5 linked regions of the Callithrix jacchus genome follow. The protein of the gene in region 3 purifies or fractionates together with the protein of the main gene of each other region. This does not show direct contact. Links are inferred from orthologs where the notes say so. Each region holds a gene or a part of one and is shown on either strand. Other genes may lie near its edges. The genes, in order: PSME3IP1, FKBP5, CLK3, TNPO3 and GPATCH8.

Evidence for each region.
Region 1: the proteins of CLK3 (region 3) and PSME3IP1 purify together in Homo sapiens (affinity purification with mass spectrometry; 3 studies listed by BioGRID and IntAct, counting the BioPlex papers as one, with this or other methods). This does not show direct contact. The link is inferred for Callithrix jacchus from reciprocal best matches to the Homo sapiens genes CLK3 and PSME3IP1.
Region 2: the proteins of CLK3 (region 3) and FKBP5 purify together in Homo sapiens (affinity purification with mass spectrometry; 3 studies listed by BioGRID and IntAct, counting the BioPlex papers as one, with this or other methods). This does not show direct contact. The link is inferred for Callithrix jacchus from reciprocal best matches to the Homo sapiens genes CLK3 and FKBP5.
Region 4: the proteins of CLK3 (region 3) and TNPO3 purify together in Homo sapiens (affinity purification with mass spectrometry; 4 studies listed by BioGRID and IntAct, counting the BioPlex papers as one, with this or other methods). This does not show direct contact. The link is inferred for Callithrix jacchus from reciprocal best matches to the Homo sapiens genes CLK3 and TNPO3.
Region 5: the proteins of CLK3 (region 3) and GPATCH8 purify together in Homo sapiens (affinity purification with mass spectrometry; 3 studies listed by BioGRID and IntAct, counting the BioPlex papers as one, with this or other methods). This does not show direct contact. The link is inferred for Callithrix jacchus from reciprocal best matches to the Homo sapiens genes CLK3 and GPATCH8.

Annotation. Positions count from the first base shown.
Region 1 is NC_133521.1:15,028,982-15,032,497, reverse strand, and holds part of PSME3IP1 (PSME3-interacting protein), read left to right. Parts: intron 1-2,184; coding exon 2,185-2,402; 3' UTR 2,403-3,516. UniProt on the Homo sapiens protein: Promotes the association of the proteasome activator complex subunit PSME3 with the 20S proteasome and regulates its activity.
Region 2 is NC_133505.1:44,022,134-44,026,206, forward strand, and holds the start of FKBP5 (peptidyl-prolyl cis-trans isomerase FKBP5), read right to left. Parts: upstream 2,813-4,073; 5' UTR 2,543-2,812; intron 1-2,542. UniProt on the Homo sapiens protein: Immunophilin protein with PPIase and co-chaperone activities. Component of unligated steroid receptors heterocomplexes through interaction with heat-shock protein 90 (HSP90).
Region 3 is NC_133509.1:21,636,362-21,639,877, forward strand, and holds part of CLK3 (dual specificity protein kinase CLK3), read right to left. Parts: intron 2,661-3,516; coding exon 2,564-2,660; intron 2,287-2,563; coding exon 2,220-2,286; intron 1-2,219. UniProt on the Homo sapiens protein: Dual specificity kinase acting on both serine/threonine and tyrosine-containing substrates. Phosphorylates serine- and arginine-rich (SR) proteins of the spliceosomal complex.
Region 4 is NC_133512.1:118,217,787-118,221,302, reverse strand, and holds part of TNPO3 (transportin-3), read right to left. Parts: intron 1,402-3,516; coding exon 1,234-1,401; intron 1-1,233. UniProt on the Homo sapiens protein: Importin, which transports target proteins into the nucleus. Specifically mediates the nuclear import of splicing factor serine/arginine (SR) proteins, such as RBM4, SFRS1 and SFRS2, by recognizing phosphorylated SR domains.
Region 5 is NC_133506.1:71,246,321-71,249,836, forward strand, and holds part of GPATCH8 (G patch domain-containing protein 8), read right to left. Parts: intron 2,329-3,516; coding exon 2,279-2,328; intron 1,108-2,278; coding exon 977-1,107; intron 1-976.

The sequences.
Region 1 (3,516 bases), on a different chromosome or scaffold from region 3:
TTGGTTGTTTTTTTAACAGATTTGGAAGAACTCCTAGTATCTTAAGGAAAGTTGCTTTTGTGATATTTGTTGCAAGTATTTGCTCTTGCCTTTTTTTGTAGCCTTGTTCTCACTATCTCTGCAGTCATTATCAGCTTTCATTTTACTTTTCTCCATCTTTGTGTTTTAACATTGCTTATCTGTAGCAGCTCCCTTTTCCCTTCTTAGAGTTTCTTGCACAAACAAGTAAATACACTGATCTCTTGAACTTTGTGTGCTGGCCGTTTGATATCTCTTCTAACTGCTCAGTGGTATTGTTTGCTTACTCCTGGTTGTCTATACTTGGAGCTGTGTATTCTTTTCATATTTACTTGAAATGTCTGAGTAAATGAGGCGCTCGCGCATCTAAGGCATAACCCTAAAAGATGTATGCTTGTTAGCCTGTGGCGATGAACTGTGAACTCCAACCCTTACTCTGCAATGAGCTCAGATGATCATTTTAGTATGTTATCTTTTAATTCACATTTAGTTTAACATTTTGTGCCCTAAGCAACCTACAACCTTGCCAAGTGATTTGACTTTCCTCATCAGTAAGATGGGGATGATGCCTATACATCAAATTGTAGTGATTAAATAAGGCTGGAAACATTTCAGGGAAAAAGCAAAGGGCTGGAGTAGAATTCTTAACTTTCCCTTTCGTCTTCAAGTCGTCCATTTTCTTTCTTCTTTTTTTTTTTTTTTCTTGAAACCGGGTCTTGCTCTGTTGTCCAGGCTGGAGTACACTGGTGCCATGATAGTTCACTGTAACCTTGAATTCCTGGGCTTAAGCAATCCTTGCCTCAGCCTTATGAGTAACTGGGACCACAGGCCCAACCATCACACCCAACTAATTTTTTTTTTTTTTTTGAGATGGAGTCTTGCTCTGTTACCCAGGTTGGAGTGCAGTGGCATGATCTTGGCTCACTGCAACCACTGCCTCCTGGATTCAAACTATTTTCCTCCCTCACTCTCCCTAGTAATTGGGATTACAGGCATGCATCACCACGCCCATTTTTTTGTTCTTTTAGTAGAGATGGGGTTTCACTATATTGGGCAGGCTGATCTTGAACTCCTGACCTCAAGTCATCCACCCACCTCGGCCTCAAAGTGCTGGGATTACAGGCATGAGCCACCGTGCTCGGCACCGACTAATTTTTTAAAACATTTTCTTGTAGAGACAGGGACTCACTATGTTGCCCAGGCTGGTCTTAAACTCCGGACCTCAAGTGGTCCTCCCATCTCAGCCTCCCAAAGTGCTAGGATTGTAGGCATGAGCCACCGTGCCGAACCAAGTCCTGCATTGTCTAGATTGAGGTCTTTGTCATTGAGATGGCAGAACAACTGTGGGGTTCCTGTAAGACAAAGAGTCTTAGCTTCTAGGTGACATTCTGCATGGCCTTAAAATGTTACCTGACAGGCTTCAGTTTTCTCATCTGTAAAATAACACAACTGGAAAGCAAAGGTTGTGTTAAGTCAGTTTCTGAATCACTCCTCTCTCCCATCAGGGAAAAGTGGCCCTTAATACAGAGCATTATTCTGGTGAGTCCCTCGGAGCCTATTCCAGTCGTGGGGGCTGCCCAATTTTTTAACATTTTTTAAAAGAAAATGTTATCATGTAGCTGATGTTTGGCCTTGAAAATGTATCTGTGCTTGCTGGCATATTGGTCAGTAAGTAAGAAATGGCATAATATGCTGAGAAGTTAATGGAATTGTTAATACTGCTCACAGTGTCTCTCTTAATCTGTCTTCATCCCTACTGTTGAGGGCATGTGGAAGCCTTTCATCCCCCACCCACGTGTCCATTTCACAGCTGTGTGAGCACAGGGAAATCAAAGCACTCTAGGTTACACTCTGAAGTAGCTAGTTCTGCAACTCAGAGCTGATGGAGAACAACAGAGTATAGTCAGGCTCTGGGGTTAAAAAGACCTTGATTCAAGTCTCAGCTCTGCCCCTTTACTTTCAGAAGTCCTTTCACCTCCTGGAGCCTCCCTTCCTTCTTTAGTTTCCCCGTCTCTAAATCGAGGGCAATGATAGTATTGGCTGCATAGAGTTGTTCTGAGGCTTCTCTGTGGGAAAAGCCCTTGGTACAATGCCTGGCACATGGTATGTCAGTCGTCAACTTTGGAAAACAGTGATGAAGTGACAGTCTTTCCCCTTTTGTTGCAGAGGCCTCATCCTGCAAGTCTCTCGGAAACACTTCCCTGAGTGGCCCCTCCATCCACTGCCCCTCTGCTGCAGTCTGTATCGGCATCCTCCCAGGCCTGGGTGCCTACTCTGGGAGCAGCGACTCCGAGTCCAGCTCAGACAGCGAAGGCACCATCAATGCCACTGGAAAGATCGTCTCTTCTATCTTCCGAACCAACACCTTCCTCGAAGCCCCCTAGTTTCTCTGTGCTTACGCTGGAAACTCCTCCCCAAGGGTAGATCGGACCGTTTATGCCACCTACAGACATTATGTCCCTCAAAAAAAAACTCCTTTGCCTGTGTCCTGTGCACAACGTGACATTTTTAACCAACCCAATCTAAAGATGTGCCAGAATCTACCTGTGGCCCAAATCGTGTTTGGTTTCTCTTTCCACTCCAGTGCAGATGACCAAACCTGTCCCGCTGCCACTTCCTCACTGACGTGGGGAGGAGGGCAAGGCCCAGCCGAAGTTCCACTAAAAATGCCCTAGGAGGATAGGCACCGGCTGGCTTGCCAAAAGGTTCAGGTTTTATTGCTTTCTGTTTTTTTCTTTTCTTTCCTTTCCCAACAGCACAAAAAAGTAAGGGCAGTTATTGGACAGGTATTATTTAAACATTCTATTGTAGGTGAGTGTGCTGTTTGGTTCCACTGCATTGTAGAGCATGCGGGGGAAGAGAACTGACCCAGGTGAAGAAATGGAGCCCTTCCCTCGAACTAACCAGTCCTTAATGTTGTGTGACTAAGTAGAGATGCTAAACCGCATCCGCTGGGGGTGTCGCTTCACACTCGGCATGCATTGTGAAGGCTTTCCACCCTTGGCCATTCCGTTTCCCCTCTCTCCAACCCCATTTATGCAGGAAGGGACTGCTAACAAGAAAACTTCCATCTTCTCAGACCTTTTCTCTGCCTCAGAAATTATTTTATGTTTGTTTTTGAAATAAAGGATTTAGTTTGAGATTCAAAATCTTAGAGAAACGTAGGCCTTGTTTACTCATAGCCAGACATCAGAACTGTGGGTAGGTATGTTAATGAGATGACTTATTTCCGGCAGCTCCTGGAATCCAAATATTGTAAACTAGTGGAACATACTTGCATTTTATGACTGTTCTATCGAGGCCCTTCTCTGTTTAATGCATATTATATTTGTGCTTTTAACTGTGGAATCTATTTCTAACTTAAGGGTGCTGCCCTAGTACTTTTCTTTGCTGCCCCTGCTGCTCTTTTTCCTTTCCAGACAGCAACTCTTGAGGCCATGAGCAGCCAAAAACTAGTGGTGCTCCTCTATCTTGTCTCATAAAGGGAAATGGGCTCAA
Region 2 (4,073 bases), on a different chromosome or scaffold from region 3:
GAGGCCCCGCCTTCTCATCCTTCCTGGGGTCACCTCCCAGGGCAGCCACCTTGGCCAGAAGTGCCCAGGTTTGATGCTCTGGCCTGGGCTGGCATGGCCAGCAGAAAGCACAATGTCTTCAAGGCCCAGTGGAAGGACGACATCAGTCTCTGAAAGCTAAGGGGGCATGTGGAAGTGTAGGGTGGGACTAAGAAATCCCTTCAATTCCTCCAACAGTGGCTGACAAAACAGACCCCATATCCAAGGAAAGCTGTGCCCTAGGATGGGAGGATTGCAAAATGGAGGAGGCTCTGTCTGTTCTGGTAGTGGGGACCTGGGTGACACCACTCTCCAGATGCCCAAGGACTGCGGGGCCTCTGGGGACAGCATTTGAATTAGGTCATAAATGATTAGGAGAATGTCAGAGGAAGGAAGTAGGAGGGGAAAGGGGGCATTCTAGGCGGCAGAAACAACCCGAGCAAAGGCACAGAGGCGGGAAAATGGAGGGTGTGCTCCAGAAGCTGCCTCCTGCATGTTCATGGAATAAAGCTGAGGCCCAGAGAGAGGAAGTGTTTCTAAGACCTAGCAGTAGCCTTGAGGTCCTCTCACTCCAGGTCAGTGCTTTTTGTTACCCTAGAAAGCTTACAGGAGAGCACACCAGGGAGTCAGCTGTTGGTTTGGTTTCCTTTGCTTTCTTATCCCCAGCTAAGTCTCAATCAGGGATCGATCCTTGTTCTTGGCCTTCCTCTGCCAGCAGCTAGCTGTGTGATTCTAATAAGTCACTTCCCCTCTCTGGGCCCCTCATCTCCAATATGAAGGAGGTATAAGGCCTTGCTTCTACCTAGAAATGCCAACTCTGACTCTCTAAGCTAAAATGTGGCTTATTCTCCTATGCCCAGCACCCGGCAGAATCTATAGCACTACACGGGTGCTCAAATAACTGTTTTTGAATGAAGAAAGGAAGGAAAGAATGAAAAGCATCATGACTCTTCCTTAGCACTCTGCTTTGACAGCCTCAGCCTCTCCCCGCCCCAGGCAGGACAAAGGATGCAGGAGTCCCAGACCTTGAAAAGGAAGTCAAGGAAAACAAATAACTTAACTACATGGGGGCCCTAAACTCTGCCTCTGGGTGGATGCCCCTGAGAGAACCTTTCCTTGCAGCCTTGGCCTTGCTGAAACTGTGCAGTGGTCAGGGCCTGGAGGAGGGGCAGGGACCTCTAGCAGACCCAGAGGCAGCTAGGCCTGAGCCAAGACTGGCCCTCCCCTTGCTCCCTCCCCACTCACAGCTTCTCTGCTTCAAGAAGTGTCCCAAGCCTTCTGGTCCCAACCCTGAGGGGTTGGGCTGGCTCTGAAACCTCCTGTTTCCCAGGCCAATGATACCTTCATTTTTCCAGTTGCAATAACCCCTTTTTTTGAGGCCCCCTCCTTTCATGTTAAGAACTTTATTGCTCATTTCCCTCTTCCGTGACAGCAGCTGTATTTCTTTAACTTTGTGAAACACACACACGATCTATGGTGGTAGAAGTCGGAATCAGTTGCCTCTGGGGCGGAGACTGACTGGAAGGGGACACAAAGGCATTTGGAGGTAGTGAAAATGTCTGAAATCTTGATCTAGGTGATGGTTACATAGGCATATATATTTGTCAAAATTCATCAAGCTGTACACTTAAGATTTATGCATTTTACTGTATGTGGAATGTATGTTGATTATACCTCATAAAGTACTGCTAGCATCTAAAAGATACACATATGGAAAAGTACATGAAACATACATGTTCAGTTTAATGAATTATTTAGCCAGCGCCTGTGAAACACCACCCACGATACCTGGTGCCCCTGTGTAATCCACAGAGCTTGGATATAACCAAGCAGTTTCCCAGGGACCCCAGCACCCACAGACAGGGCACCTCAACTCCAGACACCATGTGCCTCTCGCTTCCCGGATTCATGGAAACATAGAGGCCAAGGATGGGGCAGAGCCCATGGGCTTTGGAACCTAGAATTTCCCATCAGTTCAACACCAGGCTTGACCACGATTCCCATTCTAGTGAATTGAAGGAACAGAAAACACACCATTTCCCCTTTCTGGGAGGGGAGTTTCCGTACTGGCCTCCTCCAGTGAGTCTTGGCTGGGGGGTGGGGGTTGTCCCTAGTTAAAGTCAAGGAGAACTGTGCCTTCCCTGCATCCCTGCTAAAAATAACTCCAGGCAGTGTTGCTGCCACTGAGCAGCAGGAAGGACAGAGTCGTGTTTTGCTTTAAACCTAGAAGCAGCTCGGCAATTGGGGGCTAGGGTGGGGTGGGAGAGCAGGCTAGGGATCTGAGAACCCTGGCTGTGCTCAGTGCACCCCCCCCCACCCCCAGCTGCAGCTGGTCTTCCGGGGGTGCCTGGGAGGGGTGTATGTGTTAGCGCATGCACGCGCATGTGTGGTGACAGGGCCTCCCAGTAGCAGAGCAGGAAACCAGGGAAGGCTGGGAATGTGTGGGGAGGGGTCTCTGTCCTGCTAACTGGAGCATGCAGCTGGAGGGCCAGGCGTCACGTCACGTACTCCATGGGGTCCCTACCTCCTCTGAGAAGCGTTCTGTTCCTGCAGCCCACGCCAGGCTCCCTGGGGTTGGAGAGGCTAGTCTTCTGCAGCGTGGCCGCCTGCCCCTCAGGGCTCCTTGCACACACGGGGCTGGAGATGGTTGCTTGGTAGTCCTTGTCTCTGTCTGGCTTCTGCTCTGCCCAAAGATATTGGGAGGTCCTCAGGGGTGGGTGCAGTCCGGCAGCGAGGAATTTCCCTGGAAACGGGAAGTACAAGATGTGTCAATATGGGATCCTAGCAGAGGAGTGAGAGGCTGAGTAAAGGGAAGGGAAGAGGCCCTCCTGGCTGCTCAGTCTTGCTCTCTCCTCCCACCACTCCCCTGCCTGTCTTATGCATCAGAGGCCTCCAATTGTTGGTCTCTCTTTCTGTATGCTTGTCTTGGGTCCCCGGCTCCTTGGAGCCAGGATCATCCTGCAGTTGGCCTCCATTTTCCAAGGTAACAATAAAGAAGAATCACCATTCATTTCACAGGTACCCCGTTCCAGGCACTGTGCTGACTCTGATGTGGATGTTCTCATTTAATCCTCCCAGCAAACCTGTGATAGTGGAATGATTACAATTCCTCCCTATTTATAAAGGAGGAAACTGAGGCTTAAAGTGGTGAAGTGCTAGTCTAGGATCTCACTGGCAGTACCTGACAAAGACAAGGCTTGAAGTCATGATATAGAACACAGAGCATGTCCAAGATGACTGTCCAGGAGACAATAAGAATTTTAGGGCCAGGCATGCTGGCTCCTTCCTGTAATCCCAGCACTTTGGGAGGCCGAGGCGGGTGGATCACCTGAGGTCAGGAGTTCGAGACCAGCATAGCCAACATGTTGAAACCCTGTCTCTACTAAAAATACAAAAATTAGCCAGGTGTGGTGGCAGGCACCTGTACTCTCAGCTACTTGGGAGGCTGAGGCAGGAAAATTGCTTGAACCCAGAAGGTGGAGGTTGCAGTGAGCCGAAATCATGCCACTGTACTCTAGCCTGGGCAACAGAGCAAGACTCTATCAAAAACAGAAAAAAAAAAAAAAAAGAATTTTAGAAATTTGATATCTGGGCCAGGCACGGTGGCTCATGCCTGTAATCCCAGCACTTTGGGAGGCTGAGGTGGGCAGATTCCCCTGAGGTCAGGAGTTGGAGACCAGCTTGACTAACATGGCAAAACCCTGTCCCTACTAAAAATACAAAAATTAGCTGGGCGTGGTGGTAGGTGCCTGTAATCCCAACTACTCGGGAGGCTGTGACAGGAGAATCGCTTAAACCCAGGAGGCGTAGGAGGAAGCAGTGAGCTGAGATCGCACCATTGCACTCCGGCCTCGGTGACAGAGCGAGACTTGGTCTCAAAAAAAAAGTAAAAAGAAATTTGACCATCCTAGATAATTTAGGACACATGGTTGCTGAACTTGATGATTTTGTTTAAAAAAACACACGTATATATACATACAAACACCAAAATAACCCCAAAATAGTGGCTTTACATTCAAAATTTGTACTCCCAGTTGTGATTTTGACCAAGAAAC
Region 3 (3,516 bases):
CAGCCTGCACCATGCAACACCAGACCTTTGCCCACCCAACAGCAAATTCCCTGGCATCTGTGAGTTAATGCTCCTGATATCCATGCCAGCCTTAGGCTTTTATGTTCTCAGCCACTGCCAGCTCCCAAAGGAGTGTGGGAGAGTAAAGGCCAGTCCTGCTTAACCAATGCCAGCCCAAGAACTCACACAGTGACCTAACCTGTAGGCCAGACAGCCCCAACTGTGGCCAAGCTGTCCCCCCCAGAGCCCTCCTACAGCACCTCTTGACCTTCCTGGGCTTGTCTGCAAGTCTGAGCAAACAGGGATAGGGGGTTCCAGGATCAAGTAAAGATCTGGCAAGAGGTAGGGGTACCAGCAAGGGTACCTCTCACTGTGAGGCCCAGGGCCATTCCCTTTATCATACCCCTCTCCAGTTGCACCTACCTGCCACAGCGTTTATCAGTGACCAAAAAATGCCAGGAACCCTTCTTAAGTGTCCAAAGAAGATTTTAAGTCCCTGCTCTGTGCTTCCCACCCCGAACCCCGCCCCAGGAGACCATCTGCGGAGAGCCAGCAGAGAAGGAAACCTGCTGAGGCAAGGCTGCCAGGCCCTGTCAGGAAAGGGCAGCTAGAATCCAGATGCCCAGTGGAGAACTGGAGTGAGACAGCCCTAGCCTGGAAGGGCGTGTCCTCTGAGGCCTCAGGGAGGCTGACTGTGTTGCCTAAGAAAAGGTTCACAGGCCCAGAGCAAAGGGACCTTCCAGAAAATCCCCTGCTTTTCTCTCCCTATCCCATTTTCCCAGATTCTCAGGGAAGGAAGGGAACTCAAGGGAAAGGCCATGCACTCCAGCCTCCTCCTAAAACAAGGTCCCTCCATGGCATTCCAATCCTCAGCACAGGGAGCTCATCACTTCCAAGGCAGCCCCTGCCAGAGATGCATGGCTCTGAGAATATGACCCTGCCTTTAGCTGAGCTGAATTCTGCCTCCACATGACAAACCCCACTGGCCCTGGCTCCCTTTGAGTCCCATAAAGGTTCCCTGGACCTTCCACCTGCCCCCTCATGACTCCAGAGGCTCATGTTCCCTCCAGCTCCTCAGATAGGAGCAGCCCAGACCACCTGCACACATCCCAGCTCTTGAGTCTGCCATGCCTCCACCTGGCCACGGTGTGGCTGCACATGGCCCTCCACCTGCTGGTCCCAACCCTAACCTCTTGGGCCACACTGAGTCATACAGCTGTTTACATGGAAACGTGGAGCAAATGGAAGCTTCCTGTCAGTCTATCTCGTGGCCGAGGGGAAGGCTGGAGGCCTGGGTCTGAATGGCCTTCCTGAGCACTCCATTTAATGTGGGAGCACTATGGGGCAGCAGTGGCCAGCTCTGCCGTTAATTGGAGTATGATGCGGCCAAACCCTGAGGATGTTTATTCATCTCTGAAATAGCAGGAAGGCCAAATATGGGTGGCAAGTGGCTACAATGAAGACACGGGTACTCTGTAGCTAAAGTGCCAAACCAATTAAAGGGCCTATGGCAGGGAGGCAACTGGCTCCCCAGAGGGGGCCTCCCCACCCCAGAGCTACAGGGGAGGAAGCAAAAGGGAAAGTTCTAGTCTTGTGGAATGGTAAGGGGACAAAACTATTGCGCTGCTGGACCTGGGAGAGAGTGAGGTGCCCCAGCAGCACGACAGTGTATACCCCTCTCCGGGCACACACAGCGGAGACCACACACTACCCCAGCCACACTGGAAAAGGCAGCAGCCTGCTTGGTGAGAAAGCGCAGGGTCTTGTTTCTTTCAACAGATCTGCACAGCCTCTCAGGCAGACCCTCGGGATGGGATTCATGCTTGGGCTGGGCTTAGTGGCACTCCTAGCCGCCTGCCAGGCCAAGAACCTAAAAGTTATCACAGGAAGCAGCTCCAAGCCACAGGGGAGCCAGGGCCTTGGTCCTGTCCTGATAACCACCACCAGAGCCCTGGAGAAGTGGAGGGATTGGAGCAGAACCATTCACTGACCAGCAATTCTTAGGCAGGAATGCCACATGCCTGCAGAACCCAAGAATTTCTCCCTTATTACAGGGGATCAGCAAAACCCCAACATGGACAGGTCAGAACCCTACTCTGGTGCCACGCTTCAGAAAGAAAACAGTTAAGCTCTGATAGCCACCACCCTGAAGAACCTCAGGCCAGCTCTTCCCAGGAAGGTCACATCCAGAGCCAGCTGTACTGCCCCAGTTCACTCACCTGGCATGGTCCAAGCACTCCACCACCTTGCCAAAGGTGCCTTCACCCAGGTTCCCCACAATCTCATCTAGGAGAGAAAAGAAACTGGGCATGAGAATCTGGAGGGCAGGGTGTTGGCAGCTCCTGCAAGTTCACAGCATTCAAATTCTCAAAAACAAAAAAGGTTTCTCTCTCACTGGTACACTCTTAAAAATGGAAGTTGCTAGCGTCTGTGTCATTCAGGCAATTACTGGTGGCCCCGCTAAGGCACCACGCGCACTAGAGGCCCCTCCAGGCAGGAGAGGTCTCGTCTAACAAGGGGGGTAGAAAGTAGAGAGGTAAAGTTTTACGAAAGGTGGCTGTACATCGCTCTTGGAGCCAATCGCCGATCCGGCACACCAGGTGACCCTCCTTGTCATCTTCCACACTCCGGCTGCTGCGCTTACTGCTCTGTTGGCTTCTCTGCATGCACCGCCCCCCGAAACGCCATCCGACCAATCGCATGGTAGGCGGTTCCGATTGACAGATTGAGGTGTCAGTCAAAGGCAGAGGTGGAGACGGTGAGGAGCCGGTGGGTTGGTTGGTTGGATTTTCCAGATCCCAGCATTTCATAAGGCACACAGCATATATAACGATAGGGATATTGCAAGGGACACGTCAAGACACAAGCTGACTTCAAAAACAGAAAAGTAAAAACAGCTACAGGTATGTAAAGAAAACTCGGATATTATCTCTACGAGGAGTGCCACGAACGCTCAGGAAGATGACCTGCCTCTGCTGCTGAGGGCCGCGCTGTGAGGAGAGCCATAGCCCCGACTCCCTCCTCCTCCTCTGAGTCTCTCCCTCCCAGGCCCTCCCATGTGGCTTTGGCCAGAGCGGAAGACACAGTGAGAACGGCGCAAGAAGGCAGCTGGCCCTGCCTGGGTCCAACCATCCAGACTGGTCAGAGGCTGCTCCGGCTTCAGCTGCAGAATGCCCAGCCTGCCCTTGCCTGCCTCTGTTCGCCCACGCAGCCTTGCACATACCCGACAGTTGCCACTCAGAGCCAAGCTGCTACCTGCCCCCAGACGGCATCCTTGGCCAGACTTCACCATCACTACCAGAAACAACCTTCCATCAGCAGCCTTCCTGCCACCAGCCTCAAGCAGGAAAGCAGCCTGGGATCCTCTGGGTAGGTCGACTGCCAGGCTTCCTACCACAATGGCCCACACAGGCCCCATGTCAGCTCCTGCCCTGACCTTGGCGTCCATGCTGCTCACAATCAGGCCCATCCCAAGCCTCACGACGATTGATAGAGGGCACCAAAAAGAGAAGCAGA
Region 4 (3,516 bases), on a different chromosome or scaffold from region 3:
TAGGGGTGGGGTCTCCCTTTGTTGCCGAGGCTGGTTTCAAACTCCTGGCCTCAAGTGATCCTCCTGCCCTGGTCTCCCAAAGTGTTGGGAAGACAGGCATAAGCCACTGTGCCCGGCAGGTATATATATAGTACACTCCTAAGAGTACATGGCTACCTGGTTTCTGTTCCTGTCCAAACTTCTTGTTCTCATCTTTTGTTTGTTTTTGTTAGCACTTAACAATTTGTTTACACTCAAGAATGTTTTTATAAAGTTAGATTTATTTAAGTTTTCTATTACTTGGGAATCAAGTATATTTGTAAAAAAGTTTAAGCAGAGTATGGAGACTTTTTCCCTCAGGTCAAGGACTTTTGGAATTAAATTTGCTGATTCCTGGAGGCTCAAAAAGTACTTTTCTTTAGAAAACCAAATATGCTGCTCTATTAAGTTGAAATGGAACATGAGTATTGAACCAGCAAGGAATAGGTACTATCTATATTATTATTATCCATTTTATATTCTGTTGTTCTGTAAGATAGCTCACTTTAGGTCCTATTGAGTACTTTCCTAAACTGCTTTTATAGTAATATTAAAAATTATAAATTCAATTTTAAAAATAATTTCAGATTATATTACATTTTACCATTCTGCTCAACTTTCACACAGCACACATAAACTGAGTTATGGTCATGTGACCTAGTACTGAAAATATTTGGGCATTATCAGATAGCTTTAAAAAAACAATTCCATCCTTAGGTGATTAAGAATCTGGTTCAAAGAAATCCAAAGGGGAAATATATCCAAGTCTACATTGTGGGTTACGTTTACATTTATGTGCTTCCAAATGTTCTGGTTAGATGTATCACCAAGAAATAATACAGTGCTATAGAAGAGGTCTGACAGGATGAAATACTTCCTGAATAATACATAACTAATATGACTGACATTTGGGCATCTCTCACAAGTGAACATATTTCACATTGGACAGCCACACGACTGAATTCAATGCTTGATACTTATTTTTGGTAATACAAATTCTATGACAGTGACATATAAACATGCTTTAAAGGACTCAATAATAAATTACTGACCTTCTGTGAGCCTCTTCATCTACTAATCTAACTTGGCAATACGCCTAAATTTGGCTCCACGGACACAGAACAGGGCTAGTTTCAAAATTAGGGTTGGCCTTAAGGAACCAAAGCCTATTACATTTAGTAACTATGAGATAAATTCCTTATGAAAACATCTTACCGGTCTATCAACCTGCATGATCTCCCAGAGCACTTCAGCCACATCTGGCAGGGTATAGGGGGGGAGACAAAAGCAGCAGGTATGTAGCAGCTGGCTGACAAGCTGCTGTCCAAGCTGGCTCATCACCTGTCCAATCAGTTCCTTCCGTAATTCAAAGTCTTCTTCATGCTGTATATAGGAAAGCAGGAACATCAGATAAATTCTAGTCTCAACATTCCAAAGACCAAGCACTATTCCCCCTTTAGCCTAGTAATTTATCTTTAATAGGGAAGAAAGTATGTGTATGTGTGTGCACGTGTGTGTAAAATAACAGCTGGATTCACAAAGTTCACAAAGTGTTTCACCTTCAAAAAGAAAATTAAAGAGTTTATTAGTATCGAGGAATGAGCATGGGTTTCAACAGAGATTAATGCTTAGATTTTTCATGATTTTAAGGCAGAAAAGAAAATACTGTTCAGAATTAAGTTAGCAATTTAAAAACTTTTTTTCCCTCATCTTCAATTAAATATTTTTAATGTGAAAAATAACTTGCGTTCCTATTTTCTTGTTTAAAAACCAAGTCGGCCTGGCACAGCAGCATACACCATAGTCCCAGCCACTCCAAAGGAGGGACAGGAGGACAGCTTGAACCCAGGTGTTCTGGGCTGGTGCCTGCACTAAATTCAGTATTAATATTGTGATCCCCACTCCTGGGTTGCCTAAGGAGGGAGAGGTGAATAGCCCAAGTCAGAAACAGAGTGGGTCAAAATTCCATTCTGATCTGCAGTGGGATCTCACCTGTGAATGGCCACTACAGTCTGGGTAACACAACCAGATCCCCATCTCACAACAAAACAAAACAAAACCAACTGAAATAAGAATTGAAGATGTCTATCAGATTCTGAATTTTTTCCTGTTAAAAAAACCCTTATTTTCTTTCTTTATGTGGTCTTTTTTTTTTGGAGACAGAGTCTTGCTCTGTCACCAGGCACCAGGCTGGCGTGCAGATCCTAGCTCACTGCAACCTCCACCTCCTGGGGTTCAGGCAATTCTCCTGCCTCAGCCTCCCAAGTAGCTGGGACTACAGGTGCATGCCACTACGCCCAGCTAATTTTTGTATTTTTTAGTAGAGACTGGGTTTCACCACGCTGGTCAGGATGGTCTCGATCTCTTGACATCATGATCCGCCTGCCTCAGCCTCCCAAAGTGCTGGGATTACAAGTATGAGCCACCGCGCCTGGCCCTCTATGTGGTCTTTAATTTTTTTTTTTTTTTTGACAGAGTCTTGCTCTGTTGCCTAGGCTGGAGTGCAGTGACATGATCTCAGCTAAGCAAAACCTCTGCCCCCTAGGTTCAAGCAATTCTCCTGCCTCAGCCTCCCTAGTAGTTGGGATTATAGGCATGCGCTACCATGCTCAGCTAATTTTTGTATTTTCAGTAGAGACTGGTTTCATCATGTCGGCCAGGCTGGTCTCGAACTCCTGACCTCAAGTGATCTGCCCATCTCGGCCTCCCAAAGCGATGGAATTACAGGCATAAGCCACCGCACCGTTCCTTCTTGTGGTCTTTAAACATACACATACATATTTCTAATACCTTGAGAAAAATATATTTTTAAATTACCTTTCCCTTCTAGTAATTTTCTCTTTTACTGCCAAACTTCTTAAATGAACAGCCTGAATAGAATGCAGAAGTGAATACGTACTTCTTCCCTGTTCTTCCTTATCTACAATTTTACTCCACATCTAACCAAACCTACCTTCAAAATTCCTGTGAGCCACTTTACTAGTCCCATTGCTTAGCTGTCTACTAACAAACTTAGTACTATTCTGAATTGCTCTGATCCTAGTTTAAAGGCAGTTAGACTAACTCTCTCGAATCCAACCAAATTCTACCTCTATCTCATGGCTCCATTTAAATCCGTCCCCTTTCAGAAAGTTATTCCAACTCTCTTCTGTCTAGAGCTTTCCCTTGTCTAATCTCATAGCAATCATGACTTTGATCACTCATCTGATAATCAAATACTGGAGGCCAAGGTGGGAGGATCACTTTAGGCCAGGAGTTCAAGACCAACCTGGGCAACATAGTGAAATGCCATCTCTACAAAAAATATAAAAACTAGCCAGGCATGGTGGTGAATGCCTGTAGTCCTAGCTACTCAGTAGGCTGAGGATCCCTTGAGCCTGAGAGGCAGAGCCTGCAGTGAGCCATGATCACATCACTGTACTCTGCCTAGGTGACAGAGCAAGACTCTGTCTCAAAAACAAATGAGAACACCAAATACTGCCTTCTTGTTGTTTATTT
Region 5 (3,516 bases), on a different chromosome or scaffold from region 3:
AGCTAACTAGGAAGAGTAAGTTCCAGTGTTCTAGACCACTGTAGGATGACTAGAGTTAACAATACTATGTAGTTTTGGCCAGAGGGTGGTGGCTCACGCCTGTAATCCCAGTACTTTGGGAGGCTGAGGAGTGTGGATCAAGAAGTCAGGAATTCGAGACCACCCTGACTAATATGGTGAAACCCTGTCTCTACTAAAAATACAAAAATGAGCCAGATATGGCGGTGTGCACCTGTAATCCCAGCTACTTGGGAGGTTGAGAAAGGAGAACTGCTTGAACTCGGGAGGCAGAGGCTGCAGTGAGCTGAGATCGTGCCATTTCACTCCAGCCTGGGAGACACAGTGAGACTGTCTCAAAAAAACAAAAAACAGGCCGGGCGCGGTGGCTCACGCCTATAATCCCAGCACTCCGGGAGGCCGAGGTGAGTGGATCACGAGGTCAAGAGATCGAGACTATCCTGGTCAACGAGGTGAAACCCTGTCTCTACTAGAAGTACAAAAATTAGCTGGGCATGGTGGTGTGTGCCTGTAGTCCCAGCTACTTGGGAGGCTGAGGCAGGAGAATTGCTTGAACCCAGAAGGCGGAGGTTGCGGTGAGCCGAGATCGTGCCACTGCACTCCAGTCTTGGTAACAACAGCGAAACTCCGTCTCAAAACAAAACAAAAACAAACCCAAACAGACAATACTATGTAGTTTCAAATAGTTAGAAAGAGGATATTAAATGTCCTGCACAAAGAAATGATAAATGTTTGAGGTGATGGATATGGTAATTACCCTGATCTGATCACTATACATTATATGTACTGAAGCATTACTACATAACCCGTGAATATGTACAATTATTATTTGTCAATTAAAAAAATTCAAGGTTTATAATTCTTAAATCTTAATTTAATCATTAAATTTAATCTTAAATCTATAAAATTTTAAGGATTATATTTATCTGTACAACCCTCTGAGAAAAAATATACTCACCATTCAGCTTGTTTTCTTTGCTCTGCCAGCTCATGGAGCCGCCGAAGGGCTTTTTCCTGTTTTTTCTCATCCTTGCGGGATCTTGAAGAGACATTTCGAGCAAACTCTCTCTGCTTGAGATCTTTTAATCTCTGGGTTAAAATAAAGAAAGATATAGAGGGTGGATGATTTAGAGTAACTTAGGAACCTGAAAGCAAAGCCTTAGGACACGACCCTCAACCAATAGTTACAGTATTAGTGTAGAATACATTATCATATTCTCTTATGGCAATTGAAAACACAATGGCTGATTACTTTGGGTATAGCACTTGCAGTATCTGCATTTCTAATTAGGACAACGCATCATTTGCTTTATTAGGCGAAATAAAATGATCTCAAATGCAACAAGGAAATTTTAGAACACTGGGAGGAAAGAAAAGGGACTATTTAATCACCTGCTCCTCCAGGATGCAAAACTAGACAAACAGAACATGAGATAAATTGCAATATCACAAGCCAAAGAGAACAGAAAGGGGTTAGGCTAGTACAGAAAATTACCCAGGTGTAAGATCTTGAAAAGCAATGTACAGCTTACATGGGGGGGGTTATTAAAATTAGAACAAATAGAAAGCATACTTTTATTTCACCATAAAAAGGTGTTGTTATTTTTTTTCAGCATGAATAGAGGTTTCCTGTAACTACTGAATAAACCCAAGAGAGGTCTCCCTCTCCAAGAGAGGTCTTCCAGTGCTAGCATGTTTAGAGCTCACCAGTCTGACCACTTTTATCTGGTCAGCCTGCTGAAAGTAGTATGTGAGGCTTTGCATTCCTTCATGGCCCTGAGAGGAATATCCAGGGGATGAGGAGGGAGAGCAGAGATAAGTCAAAGATTTTACTTAAAATCCAGATAACAGAATGGGTCTTTTATTTTCAGAAGCTACTGTATAATTTTCCTTAAAACAAAACAAACTATAACCAAAAAAGAACAGTGTTATGACACACTGGTGACAGAACCCAGACATATCTATCTGCAATGAAGACACAACTAAAATTATTTTCAAGACATTAGATAACACAAGAAACAAACAAAACGAAACATATACATTAGCCTATGCTTTTACAACAGCATTGGGAAAAGGAATTTGACCCAGTATAAAGTGGACATTGCTTTGTGGAAAGGCATGATGTTTAACAGACAGAGGAATTTTCTTACCTAATATTTATGAAATGTGTTTTGAATCTTTTTAAATTGGAAGAGGGGAAGGGTAGAAAGACACACACAATAAAAGATATACAGCTAAAGACACTAGTAGAAAAACTCACTCTTGTGATCTGGGCTCCCAAATTAGAAGGATTTGCTTTCAATACATCAGCTGAAAATGTCACATCACAAAGAAAAAAAAGTAAAAAATAAAACAAGAGTGGAAGAGAAAAAAAAAATAAAGCAAGCATTACTACACAAGCTCTCTTAGTGAATCTGTAAACTATTATACTGAACAATCAGGGACAAAGCCATCAATTCTAAAAGGGCTGGGGAGAAGGGAAGCACCTGTACAACATATATATGTGTACATACACACAGACTGACATAGTAATCCCACCTAGAAAAATGAAACTACCTGTATTTCTTTCAGAAAAATGGTTCCAGAACTTTGGAAAAGACCATTGTGGCATAAAAAAGCAGTCTTGTTTCCATTAGCCCTTATTTTGGGGAAGTTGAAGCAATGAACAGCTGGCAAAACTATTAGTGCCCATAATTAAGATTTTTTTTTTGAGACACAGTCTCTCTCTGTCGCCCAGGCTGGAGTGCAGTGACATAATCCTGCACCTCCCAGGTTCAAGCAATTCTCATGCCTCAGCCTCCCAAGTAGCTGGGATTACAGGCGTGCACCCCCATGCCTGGCTCATTTTTGTATTTTTAGTAGAGACGGAGTTTCATCACGGTGGCCAGGGTGGTCTCAAACTCCTGGCCTCAAGTGATCTCAAATGCCTCGGCCTCCCAAAGTGCTGGGATTAAAGGCATGAGCCAACACGCCTAGCCCACAATTAAGATTTTTATAATGTCACTTCAAGATAAAGGATCAACTATTTTAAATAAATATGAATTCCAATTTCCTTCTCCTGAGGTGAATGGGCAGAAATAAAAGGCTTATCAGGCCTATTATATGATTACCTTTGGCCACAAACCTAATTTTTTCTTCCCCAACCACATAACAGGTTTTCTAGCCAAGATTTAGATAGAATGTATCTTCTTCTCCTATCTGCCATTTTCTCCCTCTCTCCTCTCAACTCAAGGCAACCTCCGCCTCCTGGGTCCAAGCGATTCTTCTGTCTCAGCCTCCTGAGTAGCTGAGACTACAGGTCCCTGTCACCATGTCTGGCTGATTTTCTGTATTTTTAGTAGAGATAGGGTTTCATCTTGTTGGCCAGGGTAGTCTCTGACCTCAAGTGATCCGCCCACCTTGGCTTCCCCAAGTGCTGGGATTACAGGCATGAGCCACCATGCCCGGCCTGCCATCTTCTCTCTAGCTACCTGCTAAGACTGGAAAATCTCCCTATGC